Arabidopsis thaliana: one gene and its partner. The protein of the gene in region 2 purifies or fractionates together with the protein of the main gene of each other region. This does not show direct contact. Each region holds a gene or a part of one and is shown on either strand. Other genes may lie near its edges.

What was found. The genes of interacting proteins can lie anywhere in the genome.
Region 1: the proteins of SYP41 (region 2) and SHD purify together in Arabidopsis thaliana (affinity purification with mass spectrometry, with the first as the bait; one large-scale study listed by BioGRID). This does not show direct contact.

The regions. Positions count from the first base shown.
Region 1 is NC_003075.7:12,551,025-12,557,632, forward strand, and holds SHD (Chaperone protein htpG family protein), read right to left. Parts: upstream 5,035-6,608; 5' UTR 4,828-5,034; coding exon 4,761-4,827; coding exon of another isoform or gene 4,757-4,760; intron 4,657-4,756; coding exon 4,539-4,656; intron 4,457-4,538; coding exon 4,303-4,456; intron 4,212-4,302; coding exon 4,131-4,211; intron 3,965-4,130; coding exon 3,853-3,964; intron 3,768-3,852; coding exon 3,641-3,767; intron 3,548-3,640; coding exon 3,409-3,547; intron 3,191-3,408; coding exon 3,076-3,190; intron 2,972-3,075; coding exon 2,778-2,971; intron 2,689-2,777; coding exon 2,473-2,688; intron 2,391-2,472; coding exon 2,225-2,390; intron 2,105-2,224; coding exon 1,963-2,104; intron 1,879-1,962; coding exon 1,728-1,878; intron 1,651-1,727; coding exon 1,246-1,650; intron 1,163-1,245; coding exon 878-1,162; 3' UTR 528-877; downstream 1-527. Other genes in the region: TLP1 (THAUMATIN-LIKE PROTEIN 1), read right to left, coding at 1-44, 128-197; AT4G24200 (Transcription elongation factor (TFIIS) family protein), read right to left, coding at 5,903-6,608. UniProt on the Arabidopsis thaliana protein: May have a molecular chaperone role in the processing of secreted materials. Required for shoot apical meristem (SAM), root apical meristem (RAM) and floral meristem (FM) formation, probably by regulating the folding of CLAVATA proteins (CLVs).
Region 2 is NC_003076.8:9,487,584-9,492,790, reverse strand, and holds SYP41 (syntaxin of plants 41), read left to right. Parts: upstream 1-1,698; 5' UTR 1,699-2,186; coding exon 2,187-2,386; intron 2,387-2,570; coding exon 2,571-2,847; intron 2,848-2,946; coding exon 2,947-3,036; intron 3,037-3,269; coding exon 3,270-3,341; intron 3,342-3,437; coding exon 3,438-3,512; intron 3,513-3,629; coding exon 3,630-3,695; intron 3,696-3,787; coding exon 3,788-3,868; intron 3,869-3,959; coding exon 3,960-4,067; 3' UTR 4,068-4,658; downstream 4,659-5,207. Other genes in the region: AT5G26990 (Drought-responsive family protein), read right to left, coding at 94-171, 449-591, 1,350-1,425. UniProt on the Arabidopsis thaliana protein: Contributes to the regulation of secretory and vacuolar transport pathways in the post-Golgi network, and to the maintenance of the Golgi apparatus and trans-Golgi network (TGN) morphologies. Together with VTI12, required for membrane fusion.

The sequences.
Region 1 (6,608 bases), on a different chromosome or scaffold from region 2:
TACGATGGTTATTGTAGCACCATCACTTCCTACCAAATGCAATGCTTTAGCTATATGTTAATATTTACATTTTATATAGAAATATTCATACTGATATGAAAGTATGATAGATATGAATATTACGTACCATGGAAGAAGAGGAAGCTAAGGATGATGAAATAGAATGAGACATGAGAATGAAGGACTGTTATGATCATCACTGTTTATTTTTGTCTCTCTATTAAAAAAAAAAAGTACTTTTGGTGGAGAAATTAAGTTTGGAATATTCACAAAACGAAAGACCAAGAGAGAAAAGAGGAAAAAGAAAGACCAAGAGTAGAGTTTAAAGCACCTCTATATATACGTTGTCTCAAGGGTCAAGCTCAAGATATGTGATGATCTCACAAAAGTATTGACCAATTTCTTTTATGTTTTAAAGTGATACAAGATAAAACAACATCTTGAAAAGCCATGTTATCACGAATATATTGATTAAAGTCTTTTTCCATATAAAATCTATAGCTTTACAGATTATCTGTTTGAAATTTTTGCAAAAGTCATAAGTTTTCGAAAATAAATTTTGTGGAAAATAACACCGAGTAATATATGCATGATAGGTGGCCAAATTAGCTAAAGAGAGTGCATATTATGGTACCATATCTAGATAAACTCGGACAATCTAGATAAACTCGGACAGCAGGACCATTAATCTTGAAAGATAAAAAACTCATACATTGAAAAGAAGAAGTTTAGGTTCCTTGATCTCTAGAATGCAAGTAGTGCGTTTACATAATCCATCAAAAACTGCTTAATTAAACTAATCTTGATATTCGAGTAAAACGATGTTCTGCTTTAAACTAAAGAGGTAAACACAAAGGAGAAACATCAGAAGTGAAATCTACAGTTCGTCCTTGGTGTTCTCTTCTTGTTGCTCAACGGGTTCGGCTTCAATGTTTAGACCACCAGCCAAGTCATCTGATTTCGTCTCAGTTGCCTCACTGGTCTCTGGTTCCTCTGCTGCCTCGATTTCCTCGTCGGCTACTGCATCAGGGCTGATGTTCAGACCGCTCTTGACTGAGTTATAAATACGGGCAGCAAAGTCTTTTGGGTCGGTGAGTATGAATCCACTCTCGATCAAAGCTGTCTGGTACATGAGCTGTGCTGTTTCCTTCACACTCTCATCCTGAGAGAATTTGGTATGTTAGTTTATTTCTCTAATAGACAGTAAGTAAAAAAAAGAATTGATGGGTCTTATGTTTGTTTTACCTCTGGGTCACTTGCAATTCTATCCTTGAGTTCTTTGATGATAGGGTGTCGTGGGTTGATCTCGAGGACTCTCTTTCCGCGCATGTAAGCTTGCTTATTAGCATCCGAGAGAGTTTGGGACTGCATGATCCTCTCCATATTAGCACTCCATCCAAACTTGGATGTTACGACTACACATGGAGTGTCAGCCAAACGGTTGCTGATTTTGACATCGTCTACGTTTTCGCTAGCGAGATTTCCTTTCCACCACTTTGTTAGCTCCTTGAATGCTTCCTTCAGCTCCTTGTCTTTTGAATCTTTCCCAACCTTCAGTCCTTCCTTGGACACATTCTGGAACTTTTTGTCTTCGTAATCCATCAGGTATTGCATCAAGTATTCATCAACTGGGTCTGTGAAGAAGATGACCTGGGAACACAAGTATGAGAACGTGTTATGCGAGTTGGAGATCATTTAAAGAAGAATTATTCGTGTGCAATGCAAACCTCATAGCCCTTCTTGATGAGCCTCTCCAGGAATGGAGATTTCTCTAGCTGTTCCTTGCTGCTTCCTGTGATGTAAAATATGTCCTTTTGGCTCTTTTTCATTCTCTTAATGTACTGATCCAGGGAAGTCAATTTTCCATCGGACTTTGTTCTGAAATAGCAAAATACAAATCTTTAGCCTGCTGGTGCTAATGAATGGACAGACGTGTATTAAAAAAAAAGTAACAGAGCTTACGTCTCAAAACGAAGAAGTTTTGCCAAGCGGTTCCTGTTAGCAGCATCCTCAATGATACCTAGTTTGACAGACTTGCCAAACTCGTTCCAGAATTTTGTGTATTGACCCTTCTTCTCATCGTTCTCACCAGACTTCTCCACATCTGCGTGCCAACAAGTCAATAAGCTTAGACCATGTTTCAGAAAGATGAAGCTACCAAATGGTAAAAAAAAGTGGAACGGTCAAAGTGGATTGATACCAAGAAACTTGTTTTATGGAATACCTTTTTTCTCATCATCATGGATTTCATCAGGATCTTCTTCAGCAAGCTTGCGGATCATATCAAGCGCCTTTCGGATAAGCTTCTTCTTAATTGTCTTTAAGCTGCTGTGTTGTTGAAGCATTTCTCTTGATACATTTAGAGGCAATGTGTCAGAGTCAACAAGACCCTGCAAAAGCAACTCACGTTAGGGATTTAGCCCATAAATTTGTATTGAAAGAACCCCTTAGTTTGTCTTTCAAGTAGTTTACCTTCAAGAAACTCAAATACTTAGGCAGAAGCTCATCAAATTCATCTGAGATGAACACCCTCCTGACATATAGCTTCAAGTTCGCCTTGTTGCTGTTGTAATAGCTCTCGTATAGATCATGGGGAGCTTTCGGAGGAACATACAACACAGCCTTGAATTCAACATCACCTTCAGCATTAAAGTGACTCCAAGCCATTGGCTTCTCGTCGGTAAAATCCTGTATAACAACTGGGGTCAGGGAAATCCACACGAAAATTTTACACCTAGTATGTAACAAGTATGATTTAGTTAACGCATGGTTTTCACCTTTGAGAGAGAGTGGTAGAATTTAGTGTACTCTTCCTCTGTCACCTCCTTTGGACTTCTCAGCCATATAGCCTTAACATCATTCAGAAGCTCCCATTCATAAACTGTTTCTTTCACCTTCTTGGTTTTCTGCTTTTTCTCACCATCTTCCTCCTCAGCATCTTCTTCCTTTTCTTCCTCGGTAGAGGTGGTTTCTGAAGTCAAGTACCATTACCAAAAATCAGGGCTGCCTAAACTGAAGGGAAAAAAGATAACACTGCAGCAGAAAATTATAATATGGTGTTTCATTAATACTCACCAGTTTCCTCATCAGCTGATTCATCTTCCTCAACTGGGACCTCGGTTTCAACCTCTTTGCTAGCCCAGAGGGAGATAGGGAAGTTAATGAATTCAGAATATCTCTTCACCAATTCCTGTAGTAGACAACAATGATCATTAGCAACCATAATGAGAGGATAAACAGAAATATTGAATAAGCAGTGCACTGAATTCATAATAATGCTGAACCACTTCCCCTCAGGAGAGTTTGGGGTTCTCTACAACAAACCCTGGGTTATTCTGGTTCTTTGCATTGCTTAATTTAGGTTTGTAACAAAAGAGAAATTTACTTTCTTATCAAAATATTACCCACCTTAAGTTTACTTTCTTCTAGGTACTCGCCAGCTTCATCCCTAAGATGTAATCTAATCTCGGTTCCACGTCCAAGAGGCTCATTCCATGTATCCTCGGAAACAGCAAATTTACCGTTAGCCTTTGATTCCCATACATACCTGAAAACGGAAAAGAAGTTATCAGAAAAGCTTTTCAATGATTTTACATGCCCACAAGTATATTGCCAAACAAAGCCCTCTAAATCAACTTACTGGCTGTCATCATTGTGCTTGCTAATGACTTCAATGTAGTCAGCAACAAGATAGGCAGAGTAGAATCCAACTCCAAATTGTCCAATAAGGTTCAAATCCCCACTTGATTGCATTTTCTCAACAAAAGCTGCGAAAGGCAAGATCTTAGAAATATGGAATTTATTGATCCATACTATTATGCAGGACAACGTATCACCACATAAGTAACGTACCTGACGTTCCAGATTTTGCTATGGTACCAAGGTTCTTGATTAAGTCTTCCTTAGTCATACCAATTCCCCGGTCTCGAATAGAAAGAATCTTCTTGGCTTTGTCTAGCTTAATCTGCATACCATAGCATAGTTACGGAGGTAAGAAAAAAGCTTACACTAGACACAATTCCAACGAAAGGCTAAATTTACTGAGATCAGCATTTGATAAAACAAATCGATGAAACTCTATTTTCAACACTCTCAAGCATAAAAATCATATTGAGAAACATGTAGCTAACCTGGATCTCAAGCTTAGCAGTGTCACCTTCACCCAAAACGTCTTTGTCAGTGAGTGCAAGGAACCTAATTTTGTCCAAGGCCTGAAAATCACCAACACAGACACTTATTAGTTCCCCTATTTAACGAGGTATCCCAAAAACTCACTAAAACAATGTACACGAAGCTGCTTACATCAGAAGCATTGGAGATCAACTCTCTTAAGAAAATGTCCTTGTTACTGTATAGAGAGTTGATAATAATGTCCATAAGCCGAGAAACCTCAGCTTGGAACTCAAACTTCTCCGCGTTACTGCGAAGCGTCTTCTTTGACATCGACTCAGACTCTCTGTCGATCAAACGAATTCGAATAAGGCAAGATTCAAGCAATCCAAGCGAAAGTTCTACCGTGAAACTAACAGAACACTAACCTATGAACTACATCGGAATCCGTCGATAAACCACCGTGACCACCAATTTTCTCCTCAACTTTTGGTGGATCTGTAACATCATCGGAACTCTCTTCTGCATTCGCGTGTAACTTTCTTCCTATGATAAACACCACAGAAATATCGCCATCATCAGCATATGAATCCTAAGCAACACTTATATCTATCTACTCAAAATCAACACATATATACATCGAAACGTACCTTGATCTGGAAGAAGAAACAGAAGCGAGAAAAGGAACAAAACGGACACGAGCGTCCTCTTCCTCATTGTTAGATCGGAGCCTTGGTTCTCTCAGTCTTTGCTTTCGGGTTACTCAGTGATGATGATGATTCAGCTCGATAGATCCGTATATAATAGGAAATGATTCAGTGATGTGTGAACTGTTTAGTTGCGTACACTTTAGTTTCTCCTGATTGGTTAGCTTCGTCATGATTTGCCAACGTGTCAGATCTAACGGATCGTATTGTGAGATAGCCACGTGGTAGTTTTGTATTGGAGCAAGGTTTTGTTCTTGACGTGGAGCGACGTGGATTTCGGGGTTGTGGCGTGGATGGACGACTTTTAAATTATCAAAGTATGCTAAATCAACGGTGATATTCGTTTACGTCCTAATTGGGACGATCGGACGGCTATATTTAGTTGTTTTACATGTGACAAATAACTATTGGATATTAGGATGCTATGCTTTTATTGATGTCGGATACAAAAGTAAAATGATGTTTTTCTTTGTACAACGATGATTATGCTTGCCAAGGTTATTACGTTTGGCTGGCTTTAATCGGTTGATGGCTAAAGTCTCGCCTAAAGGCGATACAATTTGTCAATTTGGGAAGATCATAGTCATCACTCATCCGTAGTAGCAATATGTATGCGCGGTTCAAAAATGGTAATGTCTATTTGGTCCCATTATTTATTGAAAGATACAACACGTGAGAGACTTCCTTCCTCACCAGAGACCTCCTTCGCTGCTTTCTTCCATGAACAGTTGTTCAGAAATGAGAGCATAACATATCGACGAATGGAACGAAAATGGACGCAACAGATTAATCAAACCACTAGAACCTTTTCTGTATCTTAAAACTATATATTTATTTATGGAGAAAAACCCAACAAGGTTAAAAAGAAGCTTGACATATACCAATGTTTGAACTAATCCTCCTATATGTTATGAAATAAAATAAAAAACCTGAAAAATGGGAAAACTGAGGAAATAAAAAAAAAAGAAGGAAAAGTTCAGCAAGACACTTTATAAGTTACCTCAAAACACTTGTCATCATCCTTTGACCAATCAATCAATTCATCAACCTATTCAAGAACCCATCTCCACCACTTTGTAGATCACTCACCTCCATGGAGGAAACTCCCAACGTGGCTCCGGCTCTTTTCGCTTTCCACCAATGCTGATAGAAGAACTCGATGAGGGCTCTACATTTGCTCCTGAATGCTCTCCCATAGCCCCGCTTTGTGAAGGTGATAGAAACTGCCTCAAATTTAGCGACTCTCTGTTTCCTATCTCAAGTCCAAACCCAGAGTTCTGATCAAAGTTTGGCCGCATTGATCCATTCGTACTAGGCGATCCACCCGCCAAGCTCATGAACATGTGTTGTTGAGGGAATGGTGGCTGCACATACGGCGCTGATCCGATTATTTGCGGCATCATCACTGGGGTACCTCTTGAATCCACCATGTATGGAATAGCAGTTCCAGGAACATACATGGGTGATGACATTGACAAACCAGGAGGACCAGTCAATCCGTTGTAGCCATACATAGGGGCTGGAGAAAAGGAGACACCAGGGGCTAGACCCAAAGAGTTTCCCGTTCTTCCCATGTGTAAACCTGTTGCAGGCTCGAGGGACTTGCCATTGGACAAGAACGAAGCCATCTGAGGTACAGAGTCTTTTCTGTCAGCTTCCACTTTTGTACCCAAGATAGATATACCTGGTTCTTCCAATTTGTGCCCCCCATAGGAGGCTGTACTCCATGGGTGCCGCCCATAGTAGGGACCCTGATCACGTGAATCAATGAAAAACTGTGGCCTGTCATTC
Region 2 (5,207 bases):
GAAGTATTCATATCATTAACACAACTCATTGGAAGAATCAGATAAGTACATGATCGTTAAAAATATAACTGGTAGAGAGAGCAAAAAGGATATCTTGAACATATTTGCATGTTGTAGGGTTATATGAGCAATCATATCAGAGCTCACTTTCACCGCACAAATGGGACATACCTACAAGATTAACAATGTCAAAACGCAGAATTGAAAACAAATCTTGCTATTGTAGCAATAAACAAGTGTCCTAGAGTTGATTTCTTCTCTGAGGAACACTGAGTGGCAATTCCAAATACTATTTCGACGCATTTCATTAGGTTACTTTCACTTTCTTTATATCCAAGACCAGTAACTACTAAACATAGAACAGTGCTCTTACCAAGAATGATATGATGAAACAATAAATAGATTTTGATTCAAAACGAGAGAAAGGTAACATTGAGGAAATATCTACCCCATTTTTTGCATCCATAGGATGATCTTCATCAATGTGACAGCATAGAGAGACGATATCAAAATAGTCTGAACAGAACGGGCAAGCATACTCCTCCCTGAAGTCATCTTCTCCTTCTATCTCCTCAAACCCCAAGAAATTGTCTGCGTTTTTCAAAAATGAAGAAACTAGTCAAACACGGCCAAGAGAACATTCGAAAATGTGACAACTACAAAACAAAAGCCTAGAAAATAAAATGACAACTACAAAACAAAAGCCTAGAAAATAAAATGGGAAATACTAAAAACGCGTTCCATTCTCGAAGTTCCAATACAAATGGGTTTCAGAAGAAACATCAAAGATATCTAAATAAACGAATGGAAACTAGTAGATCATAAAACCTTCCCTGGCAAAGACGTCTAAGTTTGAGATGAAACTAAAGCTTTTAAAAACGTTTTTACCAACAAGAAGTTTTGTATTTACTTGTAAGTCAAACAAGAATCATCAAGATTCCAGCTTTTGACATTAAGTTCATACCAAAACCTAGAAACAAAACACACACGCTTAATCAATCCCTAAAGCCTCACATTAGTAAAATGCCTCAAAAGACAGAATTTATTTCCTCCATTTTCCTTAAATTCAATATCAGCAAAACAAACATTTGAACAATCACCATTTCAAATATTCAGAACAAGACACAATCAATGTCTTGTCCCATTTTGTTCGGAAAACCAGAACAGTAACAAAAATGTCAATCTCTTACAGTCAATCTCGATCCTTGATCAATTCAAAAGAAAACAAATTTGAGGTCTAAATATCATTGATATTTTTGCAATAGAATCAAGATTAAATTTAAGACAAAACCAATCAAATCTCAAATTAAGAAAGAACAAATCCAAGTTATAATTTTTATCAAACTCACCAGATCGAGACAAGAAATCGAGCTGATATCTTCTTGAAGCCGATGCGAGACGATCACTCCAAGAATCAGAATCCATTTTTTCTACGAAGATTATTACAAATCGAAACCAAAGAATCCACTTTTTCAACAACAACAACAAAAAATCAAATAAATTCCAAGAATCCGAATTGATCTTGAGTCCGGATAAAACAAAAACAGAGATATTCCGATTCAAGAATCAAAAGATTCCGACGAAATGCAAAGACGAAGACGACGACGACGATTTTGCGTCTTTTTTTTCTGGAATTCGTCTTTTTATCTTCTTTTTTTATTATGGTTTTTAATTCTTTGGATATAGAGAGAGAGAGAGAGTGAAAGACATAGAAGAGATGAGTTCTATTACATGTATTAAATTGTTTTTTAACAGCCCGCACGAATGCATGCCGTTTAAACCTTTTACCCGCCGTGTTTTTCCCTTTTGGAATATCAAAACGTCATGCTGTTAGTACGACGCTTACGTGTCGAAATATTATTGGTTTGTATTTGGTAAGCTGGTGAAACAGGACAAAGTTAGCCGCGCAACTGTTTTTTAACTTTTTTTTTTACTGTTTCCAAAGTTTTAAGTTTTGGGGAAATAGTGAAAAGTGAAAACCTCAATTTGCAAATCTGAGAGTTTACTTTCCTCATCGGAAAAAGTTTTGATCTCGCCGCTCTCCGAGCACTTCCTTGTCGGAGTCCCAATTTTTGTGTTCGGTTTTATTCTCGGTCGATGATGAAGCCGCGATTGTGTTCAGATCGGAGCTGATTTCGAATTTGGATGTGAAATTGAGATTCTAGGGATTTCAAATTTTGACGATCATGGCGACGAGGAATCGTACGTTGCTGTTTAGGAAGTACAGAAACTCTCTGAGAAGCGTCAGAGCTCCATTGTCGTCATCTTCATTGACGGGAACACGATCCGGCGGCGTTGGTCCGGTGATCGAGATGGCGAGTACTTCGTTATTGAATCCGAATCGCTCTTACGCTCCTATTAGTACCGAAGATCCTGGAACTTCTAGGTACTCTTCTCTCTCTTTATCAGTGAAAATGGTGAACAATTTGATCAATTAGGGTTAACTGGAAATGATTAGCTTAGCAATGAGAATGATAATACATCATTGATAGTGTAGTTGAAGTAAATGTCTGTGAGCTACGTTAAGCTGAGAGTTAGTAGTTACTGAGATATTTTTGGTCATGTTTTAGTAAAGGTGCGATAACAGTGGGCTTACCACCAGCTTGGGTTGATGTCTCTGAGGAGATATCTGTGAATATACAGCGTGCAAGGACTAAAATGGCTGAGTTGGGAAAGGCTCATGCCAAGGCGTTAATGCCATCGTTTGGGGATGGTAAAGAAGATCAACATAATATTGAGTCTTTGACACAGGAGATAACTTTTCTATTGAAGAAGTCTGAGAAGCAACTTCAGAGGCTTTCTGCTTCAGGGCCTTCTGAAGATTCAAATGTTAGGAAAAATGTGCAGGTAGTTTTGACTTGATGGAAGCTGCTCTTAACACATTTCCTTTCTTTTTGCTGCATTTGCCATTGCTATCTAAGATTTATCATGTGTGTTTAATAACAGCGGTCTCTTGCCACTGACCTCCAACTTCTTTCTATGGAGCTTCGCAAAAAACAGTCAACATATTTGAAACGCTTGAGGCAGCAAAAAGAGGTATGAAACTATTATCTATTTTAGTGTAATTGGCATTTCTTATACCGGAAACTATGTGATGTTGCAGTGTCTCATTCTTTGAAGTTTTTGTTTGCTTTCTGCTCCTCCGCCTCAAATGAAACTTCTTTACATCGATTTCATAGATGATAGATTCTTTTAGTACTTGTTTTTTCAGAGTATATTATTCTGTCCTCTCAAGAAGCTTTGACTTGAAATGTATTATCATTTATCAGGATGGGATGGATTTAGAGATGAATCTGAGCAGAAACAGATATAGACCTGAAGAGGATGACTTTGGCGATATGGTTTGACTCCTATACCTGTTTCATTCTATCGATTTAAAGCAATCATTCGTCTTATGTCTTCTTTATTGATGGAATTTTTTCTCGATTCCTTTTTAGTTAAACGAGCATCAGATGTCAAAGATAAAAAAGAGTGAAGAAGTATCTGTAGAGAGGGAGAAAGAGATACAACAGGCAAGTGCTTGCACTACGTCTTTGTTCTTAGTTGTTTGTAGCTCACCAACGTTTTTTTTTTTCTTTTGCAATCAATCATAATCTTTTTTCTTCTTCGTTGTCTGTGTCATTGTCCAGGTTGTAGAATCAGTAAACGATCTTGCTCAAATTATGAAGGATCTTTCTGCACTTGTGATAGATCAGGTTAAACTTATTTAATCCCATATTCTCTTTGTCTAGCTTTTGAGTCTTCTTCCTTTCGAAAAACAAACTCAAAGCAACCCGTTTAATTGCAGGGTACAATAGTTGATCGGATAGACTATAATATCGAAAACGTCGCTACTACTGTTGAAGATGGTCTCAAACAACTACAGAAGGTAAAAATAGTGTTCTCTCTTCAACATTAATGTCCAACTATTTGTTTGTCCCAATTCTAAATGAAGTGGATCGCATAAAAAAACTTCACAGGCAGAGCGAACGCAGAGACATGGAGGTATGGTGAAGTGCGCATCCGTGCTTGTCATCCTCTGTTTCATCATGCTGCTACTCTTAATCCTCAAGGAAATATTCTTGTGATCGGATACTATAATCCCTGGTTAGATCAATAAGAAAAGTTCGATCCTTAACTATTTCATTCTTTAGCCCCGAACATCGCATGTTTTCCTTCAGGGCTTTTGGTTTCAACTTCTTTGCATTTAACAATACTAAGATCCTTTGCAGAGTAGTTAGTACGTAATATTATTGTGTAGAAGAAGACCATAGATAGTCAGAGGTCGATGTCTGAGGAGTTGAGAGATCTGTGCACCAACGCCAAAATACTCTCTTCACGCTAAAGTCAAGTGTTCTTTTAAAATGTATAAGATTCCAGTCATAGTTGTTGGAACTTGTTTTTGACAAAATGGTTTTGACCATTGTAACTTGTGGATTTTCCGGTGAAGACGTTCATTGGAGTGACCAGATTTCGGGCAAGATGGAATCGTAGCTGCGAGCACTACATGGTGGAGTATTCAAATGTGAAAACGAGTTTGTTTGAAATCTTTTACTTTCCGGTTATTGTATCTTCGCATAAATTACAAATTCTCAACATTCTAGTTCTTTTAAAAACATATATCATTTACAAATGTATAAATATTTTTCACTTGAAACAATGAAAACTTTATACACGTTTTTGTGATGAGTTAATATGAATTAAATTACATCTCAAGTTCTCAACTCTAGTTTGAAATTGGTCATGCCAAATAGCCTAATTGAACTTGTATTGTTATTGTGTCATTATCATGGTTCAAACCCATATTATAATCATACTGTTGACAAAAATTATAATTTTAATATTAAATTTGTGTTATTATTTTTGTAGATAATTAGCTGGAGGGTTTTTAAAAGAAAAATATAAAAAAAAAATTAAATAATGATTATATCAGCGCTTAAAAAAGATAGTATTATCCTGGATAGCACATTATTTTTTTTATCTGTTTCTAATGATTCTTTAAATTACCTTTAAATATAATAAATTACATATCTAAGAATTTTTTAAAATTTATGATAATATTTTATCTTTTTTAAATGTAGCATGTATATAATAAATTTAAAACTTATATTATATATAGTGCTTCAATAAAATCCTTGAACATGTATAACCAAAAAAAAACCTCAAACAACATGTGCATGGATGTTTACCAATTATCATTTAAAATATAGTTATCTTATTTACAATGG